Drosophila melanogaster: one gene and its partners. The protein of the gene in region 3 interacts with the protein of the main gene of each other region in a pairwise test. Each region holds a gene or a part of one and is shown on either strand. Other genes may lie near its edges. The genes, in order: CG12206, alc and jbug.

The links.
Region 1: the proteins of jbug (region 3) and CG12206 interact in a two-hybrid assay, tested with the Drosophila melanogaster proteins (2 studies listed by BioGRID).
Region 2: the proteins of jbug (region 3) and alc interact in a two-hybrid assay, tested with the Drosophila melanogaster proteins (2 studies listed by BioGRID).

Annotation. Positions count from the first base shown.
Region 1 is NC_004354.4:3,472,667-3,476,423, forward strand, and holds the start of CG12206 (uncharacterized protein), read right to left. Parts: upstream 1,859-3,757; 5' UTR 1,475-1,858; intron 785-1,474; exon of another isoform or gene 706-784; 5' UTR 483-705; coding exon 1-482.
Region 2 is NT_033778.4:9,136,056-9,139,812, forward strand, and holds the start of alc (alicorn), read right to left. Parts: upstream 1,879-3,757; 5' UTR 1,545-1,878; coding exon 897-1,544; intron 1-896.
Region 3 is NT_033778.4:22,734,944-22,738,700, reverse strand, and holds the start of jbug (jitterbug), read left to right. Parts: upstream 1-1,655; 5' UTR 1,656-1,859; coding exon 1,860-2,096; intron 2,097-3,757.

The DNA of each region.
Region 1 (3,757 bases), on a different chromosome or scaffold from region 3:
GTGTCCGCTGCTGTTGCTGCTGCTTGACTGGCGGCAATTTCACCATTGCAGCTGATTATGGTCGGTGATGTTGCTGTTGCTGCTGCTGCTGTTGCTGCTGATGCTGCTGCTTCTGCTGATGCTGTTGCACCGGCAATTTCTCCGCCAATGCGCAACAGTAACTGCGGATAGATTTTGTTGGTCTCTGGTGCTGCTGTCGACTTTGCTGCAGTGTCGTAACTAGTTTCCAAATTATCTTTGGCTGTTGCTGCTGTGTCGCCAAATGCCAGCAACATGCCAGCAGCCTGTGACTTGAGCGACATTTCAGTGTTGCTGTTGCTCTTGGCAGTTGGTGCTACTTGTTTTGTTGCGGCTTCTGCTTCGGCAGTTGCGGTTGTTGTTGCTGGTGGTGGTGTTGCCGTTGCCACTTCTGGCGATTCAATGATTATGGAAATACCGCGCATTGGCTCCAATCGCGACACATTGCTAGTAATTGCCGCCATGGTTCTGCAGCATCTGGTTGTCGATATCCGATTTCAGATATCCAGTGCCTAGATCTCGTGCCTCCAAGCTGATGCAATCAAGTGCCGGCTAATGATGTTGCTCCTGTGCGTTCCACTTGCAGCTGCCTCTGCCTCTGCCTCTGTCTCTGCCGTTGACCGTTGCCAAGTGCTTTACAGTTAGAATGCCGCCTGCATACGATTGAAGTAATTGCCGCAGTTGCCTCTGCAAGAAATGTATTTATGCCAATGAAATAAAGTTTTATTTATTTTCGACTGAAATTTTGACGAGCCGTTGAGATTCTAATAGTCTAAAAAATGTCTAAATATGACCCCAAAGCTAACCAAGATAGGTATTTTCAATTTCTCCAAGTGTGTTAGACGCCGCCACACGAGCTTGACATTTAAGTTGAAGATGATGCTGAATAAATGTTAAAGGCTTTACCAGCATACTAAAAATACAGATGGGAAACCAGACAAAAAAAAAAATAATAATAATCATAATAATGATAAACACGAAACACCGCAAAAAGCAGAAAGAACTGGCTAAAGAATGTCGTAAGCAAAAGGAATATAAAATTCTGAATACCCTGTAATTTTTGCAGCTAATCATTTCTTTTCTATACATATTTGTAAACTAAGCAATTAATTGAAACAATTTAAATATAAACAAAAGATAGTTATTGTAACGAAATCAACTTCAGATATCATTTCGTTATTAATGTAGCTACATATGTATGTATGTAGCAAGCCGTATCGATTAGTGCAGCAACTTTTTCGATTCCGACAGTGAATGTTCTTCAAACTTAAGAACGAGTCGGAATTTACATTTAAATTGCTGAGGAGGAACTTGAAATATTGGGCGCGCACAGCCCGCGGCATTTTTGACTGCGGTTTTTTACGATTTTTTTTTTTCTCTTTGGAATCTGGAAACTGGTTACACTTGAACCTGGTATTTGTGTTTTTTTTTTCGTTTGTTGTTTGGAAATATTTACCCGTTGGTATTGCTGTTGTTGTTGTTGCTGCTGCTGGCCTGCATTCGCCGCTTATTGCACACAATTTTCATTTGATAGCATACCAAACAAACACACACACAAAAATAAAACAAAAATTGAAAAAATCGAAAAAATCAAAAAATTCAGAGATTTTTTATTGGACTATATTTTTTCATATATTGCACACACGCACGCAGTCTGTTTTTTTCCTTTAGATTTTCATGTTGCTGTGCTTACTATCAATCTTTGATCTTTCGTTGGGATTCTTCAGTTACTATATGTAATATATATGTATATATATGCACATGTATATCGGCTTGAAAACACGACTTTTGAGAACTCGCCGCGCGTACAATCCATTCAAAATCGCGCTGGCAACTGAAGCCGCAGCAACAAAGTCGCTTTGGGTTGGCGTGTTTCGCCAGGGATTGTTTTTTTTTTTTTTTTTTTTTTACCACTTCTTCTTCTTCGCATAGTTTCCTCTCTGTCTGCCGCCCATTCGCCGACTCTTTCTCAAGCCAGTTGTTGTTGAGGTTTTTTTAATTTTTGCTTTCAAGAAACTCACAAAAAAAAAGCAGCAGCCGCTGAAATTACCTAAAACAAAAATAAAAGAGCTTCAAGGCGATGGTTTAAATACACTGTCAGCAGATTTATTAGCTTATTAAGTACGCAATTAAGTCAGATTTCAAGTATTGCCCTAATAATTAATAATATTTACTTGCTACACATTTGCTTAATTATTTTTCAATTATATTGAAAATATATTATATTTATTATTAAATGCATAGAAATAGGTTGCATTTATTTGACATAGCCTGCATGTTGCACGATGAGTGCAAAAGTCAACTTACCCCAAAGGAAAAAGCGGGCAACAAATATGCGCCGCTGAGAATTTGTTTACGTGCGCATGCGCAGCCGCTGTCGACGGCGCTGCCTCTGCCGCAGTCGCTGCCCATGTCGACGTCGGCACTTGTCCGTCGCTTTTATTATTGTTATTGTTATTGCTGGTCTTGTTGCTGCCGCTGCTGTTGCTGCTGCTGTTGCTGGCGGCGCAGTACTCGTTTGTTGCCAAAGTTAATTGTTTGGTGCCACAGCTGCACAGTGGGACATCGAGAGTGCGCGGGGCACAGTGGGCAGTGGCAATTGGATGGCTGAATGGAATGTGGCAAGGCCTCAAACTGGTTTTCAGTTTTTAGGGGCTCAGGTGCGGCGATAACGCGATTGAGACTTCAACACGAGAGCAGGAATTCCGATTCCGCTGGCAATCAAAACAGCTTGCCGATCAAATTGGTTCAGTTCGAACCAAGAAATATATATATGTATATATATATATAATAAACATATGCACTTCTGGATCTCTGAAGCTGAAAAAGCTAACGAGTTGACCCCATGCTGATTCTAGTTTCAAACGAATCCTCCTCTTTGGACGCATTGGTCGCATTGTCGCCCAGAAATTTCCGCCTTAGAAATATGTACATATGTACAACTTAAGCATAAACAACAACTTTCCATCAAGCGACTTCGTCGCTCCGGCTGAACAATTGCCAAATGGATTTTAGCTTTTAATTATATTTAATACCAAAGTGTTTATGCAAAGGAAAGAAAAAAAAAGAAAAAAACCGAAAGAAAGACGCCTCGAATTTGTGTGTGCAATCAACGGAATGTAAAGCTGCACTTGCAGTATGCAGAAAGTACGAGTGCAGCAGCCACATGCAACAGGCGCTGCAGCTTGTAATTTACCGCTAATTCGATGCAGTGAGACGTCCAACGATGACGACCACTAATGTATGGTATGCATGTACGTATGTATGTACTTATGTATGTTTGTGCTTGCCACCGCCACCCGTACCGCCCCCAGTGGTAGAGGTACCGCTCCGCCCAGCACGATGGCCGGTCACTTGGCCAGTTTGTTTCCGCCTGTTGCGCTCCGCTGAAGTCACAAGGGCTGCTGCAGGCGTTGGCCAATTCAGATTACCGTTGCACATGCGCACACACACTCACACACTTTGCTGCACTGTGAGAAAGGAGTGACACTTGTCCATCGATTGCCAATGAAAAAAAAATATTTTTTAAAGAATTTTGTCGCCTTTCGTTACATTTGTATATGTTTTACAACTTATTTATCTACATTTAACAATTTAATTCCATTTTTTTTTCACTGTGTATTACTTCTAGTCAGTGAAAAGAAACTAGCCAAGCTTCACTAATCAATGGAGAAGTTTTTATGAATTCAGGATTTGTAAAGGAGTCGTAGGCTAATTGAAAAGTGAAAGAAAAAAAATA
Region 2 (3,757 bases), about 14 Mb from region 3:
GGACAATATCTGCAGGCCTCGGGTTGAGTTCAATAAAACTCATGAAACTTGATAGCTGAGTTTGCGATAAAACAAAAATTGGGCAATACTTCATGAAAATGTGGCTGGGCAATGACTGCTTTCTATAATTAATAACGTACTGTTGCTACTTGTTTCGAGCAATTTTGAATTATATACAACAATTTGGCTTGCTACATATATATATAATACAAAAATTTGTTCAATGGTTTGCTTTCGTTTTGCTTACTAATTTAAATGTCAGATAAACTACATTATTTATTAGTCATTAAAACCATTATGGTTTAAATACGTGAGCTTCGTGAACTATTCTTAATAAAGATTTAAAGTCTGTGCATTTAGTAATTCATTTCTGATTGCTTTTCGTCTTCATGCAATTCTGCAACTATTTTAACATTGCGAAGTAGGTCATATATTCTATCACAGTCCTGAACTTTGTTATCCAGAAAAATATTTTATCTAAGAAAACGTTACTATTCCCTTAAATCTTTTCTATAGTTCAAATTGTTCGCCTGATAGCAATGTTCAATGGTCACTTAGATAAACTGTGTCCACAAAACTAGCGACATCCAACCGGATTTAGTAGTAATCTACAAATGGGTTTTATCGCAGTTTGCTCCCTTAAACTTGTAACTTTAATTGCATTTGTTATTTGCGAAGCATTTGAACGGGGTTCCTCAAAAAAAAAACAAAAAAAAAGCTAAAGCCGGATGAGCATCTCTGAACCCAATTGAAATCCACTACGATTACTGGGAGACTTCGTTTTGTTTACGGCGATTACACAACCCGGGGCGAAAATCGGTAACTGCGTCATTCGGGCGCCCGAATCAAAAACACTGAATAGCCTGCTGCATATATTGATTTTCCGCCCAACTGACCAGCTTGGGATCGTGCTTCCACTCGCCGTCCACGCAGAACTTGTACTGATGGTCGCCCTCCGGCAGATCTATGATGGTCACGAAGTTCTGATGGCTGCGCACCATGGCCATGGGCTTCCAATCGGAGAATGTGCCCGAGATGGTGACGTTCTTGCCGCCGCCGTCCCACCGCAGAACTGTGGGCAGTGCCGTCTTCCGGATGTCGTCCTCATCGCCGGTTAACTGAGATCCAGTCGCTGGCTCCGCTCCTACCGCTGCCTCCTCCTCCTCCTCGTTGTTGTCCATGCTGGAGTGGTCTCGGGTAACAGCTGATGTCGCGTCGTCGTGTGCGGTGCCTCGTCTAGTGGATCCAGTTCCAGTTCCCGTGTAGTACGGGTCGTCGTCTTCTTGCGACGAGCCCTCGTTCAAGACTGCCGTATGTTTTTTGTCGAACGAGAAAGCTTGGCCTCCGCCGCCTCCTCCTCCACCCCCCGCAGCTCCCACCGCCCCCGCTGCAGCGCCCAGAGCTGCTGCGCCAGCACTCCCGCCCTGTCCCGCTCCTCCTCCACCAATCGAATCGCGGAAATGTGCGGGAGAGCTCGGCGTGGACAAGTCGGTCGACTTGTGGCGCTCGCGTTGCATGTGCACGGAGGAGCTGGCGTTGCCCATGCTTATTGCCGTACTCGCTGGCTCGTCGGCAGGTCACGGACCGAGTATAATGATTGGATTTGGACTGGGTTCGACTGCTCCCTTTGTTTGGCACTTTATACTTCGCTTTAAAATGGACTCGCGTTTTTCGTTGGATTACTCTAGTACTCTGATCACATCACCGTTCGTGGCTCGAAGTCTGTGTGTTGTATTTGGCATTTAGTAGGCAGAAAACTGCATTATTTAATCGTTTGTTTCGTAGAAAAATTGCTAATTATAAACATTTACATATATACACAGGCAGTATATTCGCAGTTCCAATTGGCGAGAGCACACGCAGGGTTGCTTTCCCGTGAGTTCAAAACAAAGAAGTTATCGGGCGACAGCACACAGTGTGCCGCCCTGGTCTTAGCAGCTGTGACCGTTATCGGAGCTGCCACTCGATTTGAATTTATAGTTAGGTTGAATGTTCTGAAAATTAAAGTGTCATGGGTTTCCAGCACCTTCAGAAAGTTAAGATTACGTGGAATTAGATTAAAGTGGCAGCCACTCATTAAAGATTTTTAAATTCATAGCAACATTCTTTCAATTCTTATCATTTCAAGACAATAGATTGCATCGGTGAATTGCTTGAGTTTAATCACTATCCCAAAGCTATCAACCAATTAATAAATAGGTTAATGAATCATACAATTTATCTATTTATTTATGAATTCAACAGAATTAATTCCACTGAATTATCGGCTGACAAATCCAGATTAAACGGGTAAAGAGTGCTTTCCTAGTCGACTATATTCCTGTAAATGCGTAAAACGAGCATTACAACAGCGGAAAACTGAGGGTGCAAAGTCCACGACAATCAACATGCATCGGAGCACAATAAAAAGGCAAAAGTGGAAAGGAAGACTAGGCAAGACCGAGAAGAGTGACAAAGAGCGAGGGCGGAAGTGCGGCGAGGACAAGGCTGATCTGCGATGAACACCAGGTAGAAGGTAAGTGTATCCACCGCACAGATTTAGCCAAAACAGTCCAAAACATATGTATGAAAGCAACTAAAAGAAACGGCGATCAAAACAAACAAATGTTTGGTACCAGTGTACCACAGATGTAGAAACCAGACGCTTTCCAGACTATGGCAGCACCCCAAGAAACTCTTGGAAATACTACTCATTGCTACACCGCACATATGACGTACACTTGGAGAAACAAGCACATTCCAAACAATGCGTATGTACCTAGTTATTTCATTACAAGGAATTGAATTTAATGTACCCAAAGTTAAGCAGTAGCATTTAGTATTTATGTTTTCTGGATATATTAACTGAATGAATAGGAAACTTGTACCTAAATCCATTTCAGATCCGTGCCATTTCTTCCAGTGCACGAGCGGCTTTCCCATGTGTGTGTGCTGCGTGGTAGCCACTCACACAGCGGCAAAACACGACGCCTTCGCATTTAAAATTGATTAAAACTAAAAACACTCGATGCCGACGCCGTGCCTTGTTTCGTTTTCAGTGCGATCGCAGACATTGTGCAAAACGGTTCACAGTTCTCTCCTCGCGACTGCAGGTGATCGAGTTTTTTTCGTTTGAGTGCACTAAAAAAAAACAGAGCAAGCGCAGCAACTGGAGTTGGAGTGAAGCCCCAGGAGTCACGTCCCTTTCGAAGTCGAGTGAACTAAGCATTTAAGGTAGGTCAGTTGGATGGTTGGCTACAATGGGTTGACCTCGCCCGGTTATTAGTCTCGGTTCACTTTGCATTTGGTGCTCTTCAAGGTCCGCAGCCCGCTTATCTGGCCACGTCCGACTAACCCATTGATCGGAGCCCAGAAGGCCCGGCGGAGTCCCAAACAACTTAACTATTTCCCATGGCTCCCGAGGGCGGCGCGTGTTTGCGCCGATTCTCGACCACGTTATCAGCGATCTGCTTAGCCAGTGAACTGTTCTGAACTGCTAATTGATAATATGTATGCGGCAACACCTACATATGTACATACGTATGTGTATACTTACATATTTAGATTCGAGTTGAAACTGCGTCGCATTTGCCACTTAGTTGCCGTTTTCCCAAAGCCTGTTTGATCAGCCTACTCTTCACACATACTCCCCTCCGGATGAAGCACAAAGAGCCTCCATCGGTGAAAAAAAAAAACAAGTATGAAGCTCCAAGATGGCCACTCCACCTGGAGCAGATACGATAATAATAGATGTATACCAAGAGCTTATCAATAGCCC
Region 3 (3,757 bases):
AAAAAGCGAAATAAGTATATACGAATGTATATTCGGACAGCAAACAAATCGAAAAGTGTAAAAAATGCCAGACACCTACGTGCACATCGCATTCTGTGATATAGATACACCGATTTGTAGCCTACGATACGTACACTTTTGCCCATTCAAAGTCGAAAATTTCGGCCATTACGTAATGCCCTAAACTAGGTGTGCTAGCTGGCCCTCTTCTGCCATTTAAAGTCACGACAACACTTTCGATATTTACCTGCTGACCAACTGAGTAAACTAAGAAGCGGATTGGTCATTCCCATTACCATTACCATTCCCATTCCCCTTGGCCAATAGCACCACCAATACCATTATCATGACCATTCCCATGACCTTGCCGCCAGCTGAATCTATAGAACTCGCCGAGTAGTGGGGCTCATTCCACTCCGCTGGCGAGTGCAACTAATTAGGTTCATTGCCAATGTCAAGTGTCAGTAAATGACATCAGCCACGGGATCACTCATAAGTCCGAGGAGCAATTCATTAATTTCCACTTTTTGCTGTCCCCGCTGGTTAATTTATTTCATCCAAGCCACGCAGTTTTGTCACTGAGACAAAAACACAACAATGACATCTCTGCTTAAAATAAATTAAGGTACAAATTAGTTTGCGGCAAAGCGGTGTATTTAAGTAGTTAATTGATGTTTTAAGAGGAATTCCATTGAAGAGTTACTAGATTAGCTACGTCAACTGTCTTTTGTAATATTAGTCAGCATGATTTTCTCGCACTGTATTCTCCTGTCGGGGCGTTAAAAAAGTGCTCAAGCCACAACTCATCGCTGTGCCGAGCAAGTGATGAGTGATGTCATCCCAGAGTTGTTTACCTCTCCGAAAAGTGTTTGTCAATAAATAGTATTCGTATTCGTATTCAAAATCTGCATACCAGCCTCGCTCAGAACTGGACGTGCTATGATATATGCGATCTGTGGCAATTGACTTGTTTAGAAACGCAACCGGATTTCCTATAATTAAGTTGGTTAGACGGTCATTTGACGCCTCGTTGTCTTCGCAACGCCGTGTGGAAAAATGCCAAAAAGGCCATTCAGACGGCCAACTTTCGGTTTGCACAAATTGTTTGGGTAAAAGTGCGACAAGTGAAAACGGGCGAACAATTGACAATTGATCGTGGCAGATTTCATTGCTGTGATTACGTCCATTATCTTCTGGGGTGGCTCCCACGTTTACACACATGTTGGCCTTCTAACGTTTGTGAAAGACTTGCCCAAACAGCCACATTCACGACAACCACTGGCATCCACAGTACTGCCCACCAGATCTGCTCGCTTTTTGCCTGCTGTTGCCGCGGCGAAATTCCAAACTAAGTGATTTCTGTTATTTTACAGACTCTTTTTTTTTGTATTATTTTCGCCTTTTTGTTATTTTTGTATTCAATTTTCCTTTTCGCTCGCTTCGTTTTGGCTTGGAAGCGACGAAACCAGTTTTGCTTTATAGCCAGATTCAGAGATATTCGCACACACACATTCGCTGGCGAAACCCCCCGCATTTTTTTTTATAAATTCTCCTGCTGCTCTCTGGAGCTTTGAGCTTTGGCCATGACGTCATCGTTTGTTTTGGCCAGGCCAAGAGAGCAGAGCCGCCCAGATCGACCAGCTAAGCGCAGTTCCAGTTCGCTTCGGGCCGCGAGCGCGTGCAAACGAAACTAAAACTGATACTGAAACCGAAACTGAATAGCATAGCTACAACTTACAGCGATCAGAAGTATCTCATCGCGATCTATCCATTTCTCCCGATCAGTGTTTCGAACGCGAGTTACATCTGTACATACATATGTGCGAGTCGCAGGTGAAGTGCAGTGACGTGCAGTGAAGATGGACGTCAAGGACATAAAAGGCGCCAAGGTGACGCATGCGGGGCTGCTCAAGCACAACTCCGATGGAACCACCGAAACGCAGAAGATCACCCATGCCGGTCTGGTGGCCCGGAGTCCCGAGGGCACCGCCGCCAAGGGTATGAACATACGGGGCAACGAGGACCTCTGGGTAGAGATCCAGGCGAACACATTCCGCAACTGGGTCAACGAGCATTTGCGTGAAACGGGAATGCAGGTGAGTTAAGCCATAGATATATTGTAGATATATTTACATTCCGATTATGCAACACTTTCTAACCGACTGAGTAATGCCTGCCGCCGACTGAATATCTGATCGATCAAGCGCAAAAAACAATTACCCAATCAATGGGCTAGCTCCGTTGAATGTGGAATTCGTAGAACTATTGATGAAGCAGGGCCTGAGAATCGATGAGTGAAATACAAAACGTTTAGATCTGGAATTTTAGCCAGGAAATGATTTGCGAAGGCAGTTGCACATAGAAAAAGTGGCACTGCTTAATGAAGTGTAATTAGGGATAGAAAACAAAATATGAATATGTGAAATAATGAACACTTTTTAATTGAACTCTATACAAATAAAATTTTCGATTATTATAAATCGCAATTAAGAAGCACTTTAAAAGCAAGGTTTTTGAAGTTCATATACTGATCCCATTTAAGCTAAATATAATCGCATAACGAGCGCATTGACTGGTGACAGAACACGTAAAAGTATAAATCGCCATCATAAACTGGGGCTTCGAGCTCTTCCGCGAGTTTCCCTAAAAGGCCGGGCTCATAAAACTCGGCTCAATCGCCCACGCAGATCTTGAACTCCAATGGCAGCAACGACAATTACATTAACAATGATGCCAAGAGTACTCACACGGACTTATGTGTACTGCCAACAATGCATTTCATTTGTCCAGGGACTTTTGAACTGTCACTCGCTTCGACGGATTTTCTCACACGCACCGCACTGAAACGACCTGAACCGACCATATTTGGCCGGTTGAATGCCAAGGCCAACGCATCGAGTTCCCATTAGCAGTTACAATACACAAAACAAGCTAAAGCTTTTGTGCGCGATCTTGCCCGGTTTCGAGTATAAAATTCGGGGTTTTATTTTTTTTTTTTTACTTTTTCGGTTGGGCCAAAAACGTACATACATACGTGTATGTGTACATATGTGATGAGCAAGGCTGAAGACCCCTTAGTAAACAGCGCTAATTGTGACCTGGCTGGCGTCTATTTGGGTCACCAAACCAAAACGAGTCATCCAAGTTTGCGTTTTTTACGCTGTTTACAATTCTAGTTCATGCGTATGCGACAAATAATATTGCAATCCACTTTGTATGACAAATGCATGTGCAAACAAAAGGGAAATGCTTTGATGGGAGCAGATACACGGAGAGAAATATTCAAAGTGACTGCATTGTATGACCTTAACGTTTTAATGCAGTGCAACAACAGTTGCGGCAGGTAGAATTAAATTATCTCAAAATGATTGCCACCATGGAACTGTCGTAATAGAATGACTAGACATTTTCTGACATATAGCAAAAATTTATATGCAAATAAAAGTACATATATATTTTGTTAGGTGAAAACGCAACTCCCAACGAAACTCGAGTTCATATCGTAAAATCAGAGGAATCTTAAAAATTTAAGGGCGGAATAACAGCAGCGACAAATAACAACCTGCGGCAGCTTGTTAGAGAGCCATGGAGCAACTACATATGTGCGATGTGAGATTTTTATGGCATCCAATGAATATTTTCCTAGGCACAAACAAACAGCAACAGACACGCGATTGTCTCCGTACCCAGTTCTCCAGTTTTTTGTCGTATTTTATTTGTTGAGTTGAGTTGAGTGGAGTGGAGTGGAGTTCCCCCC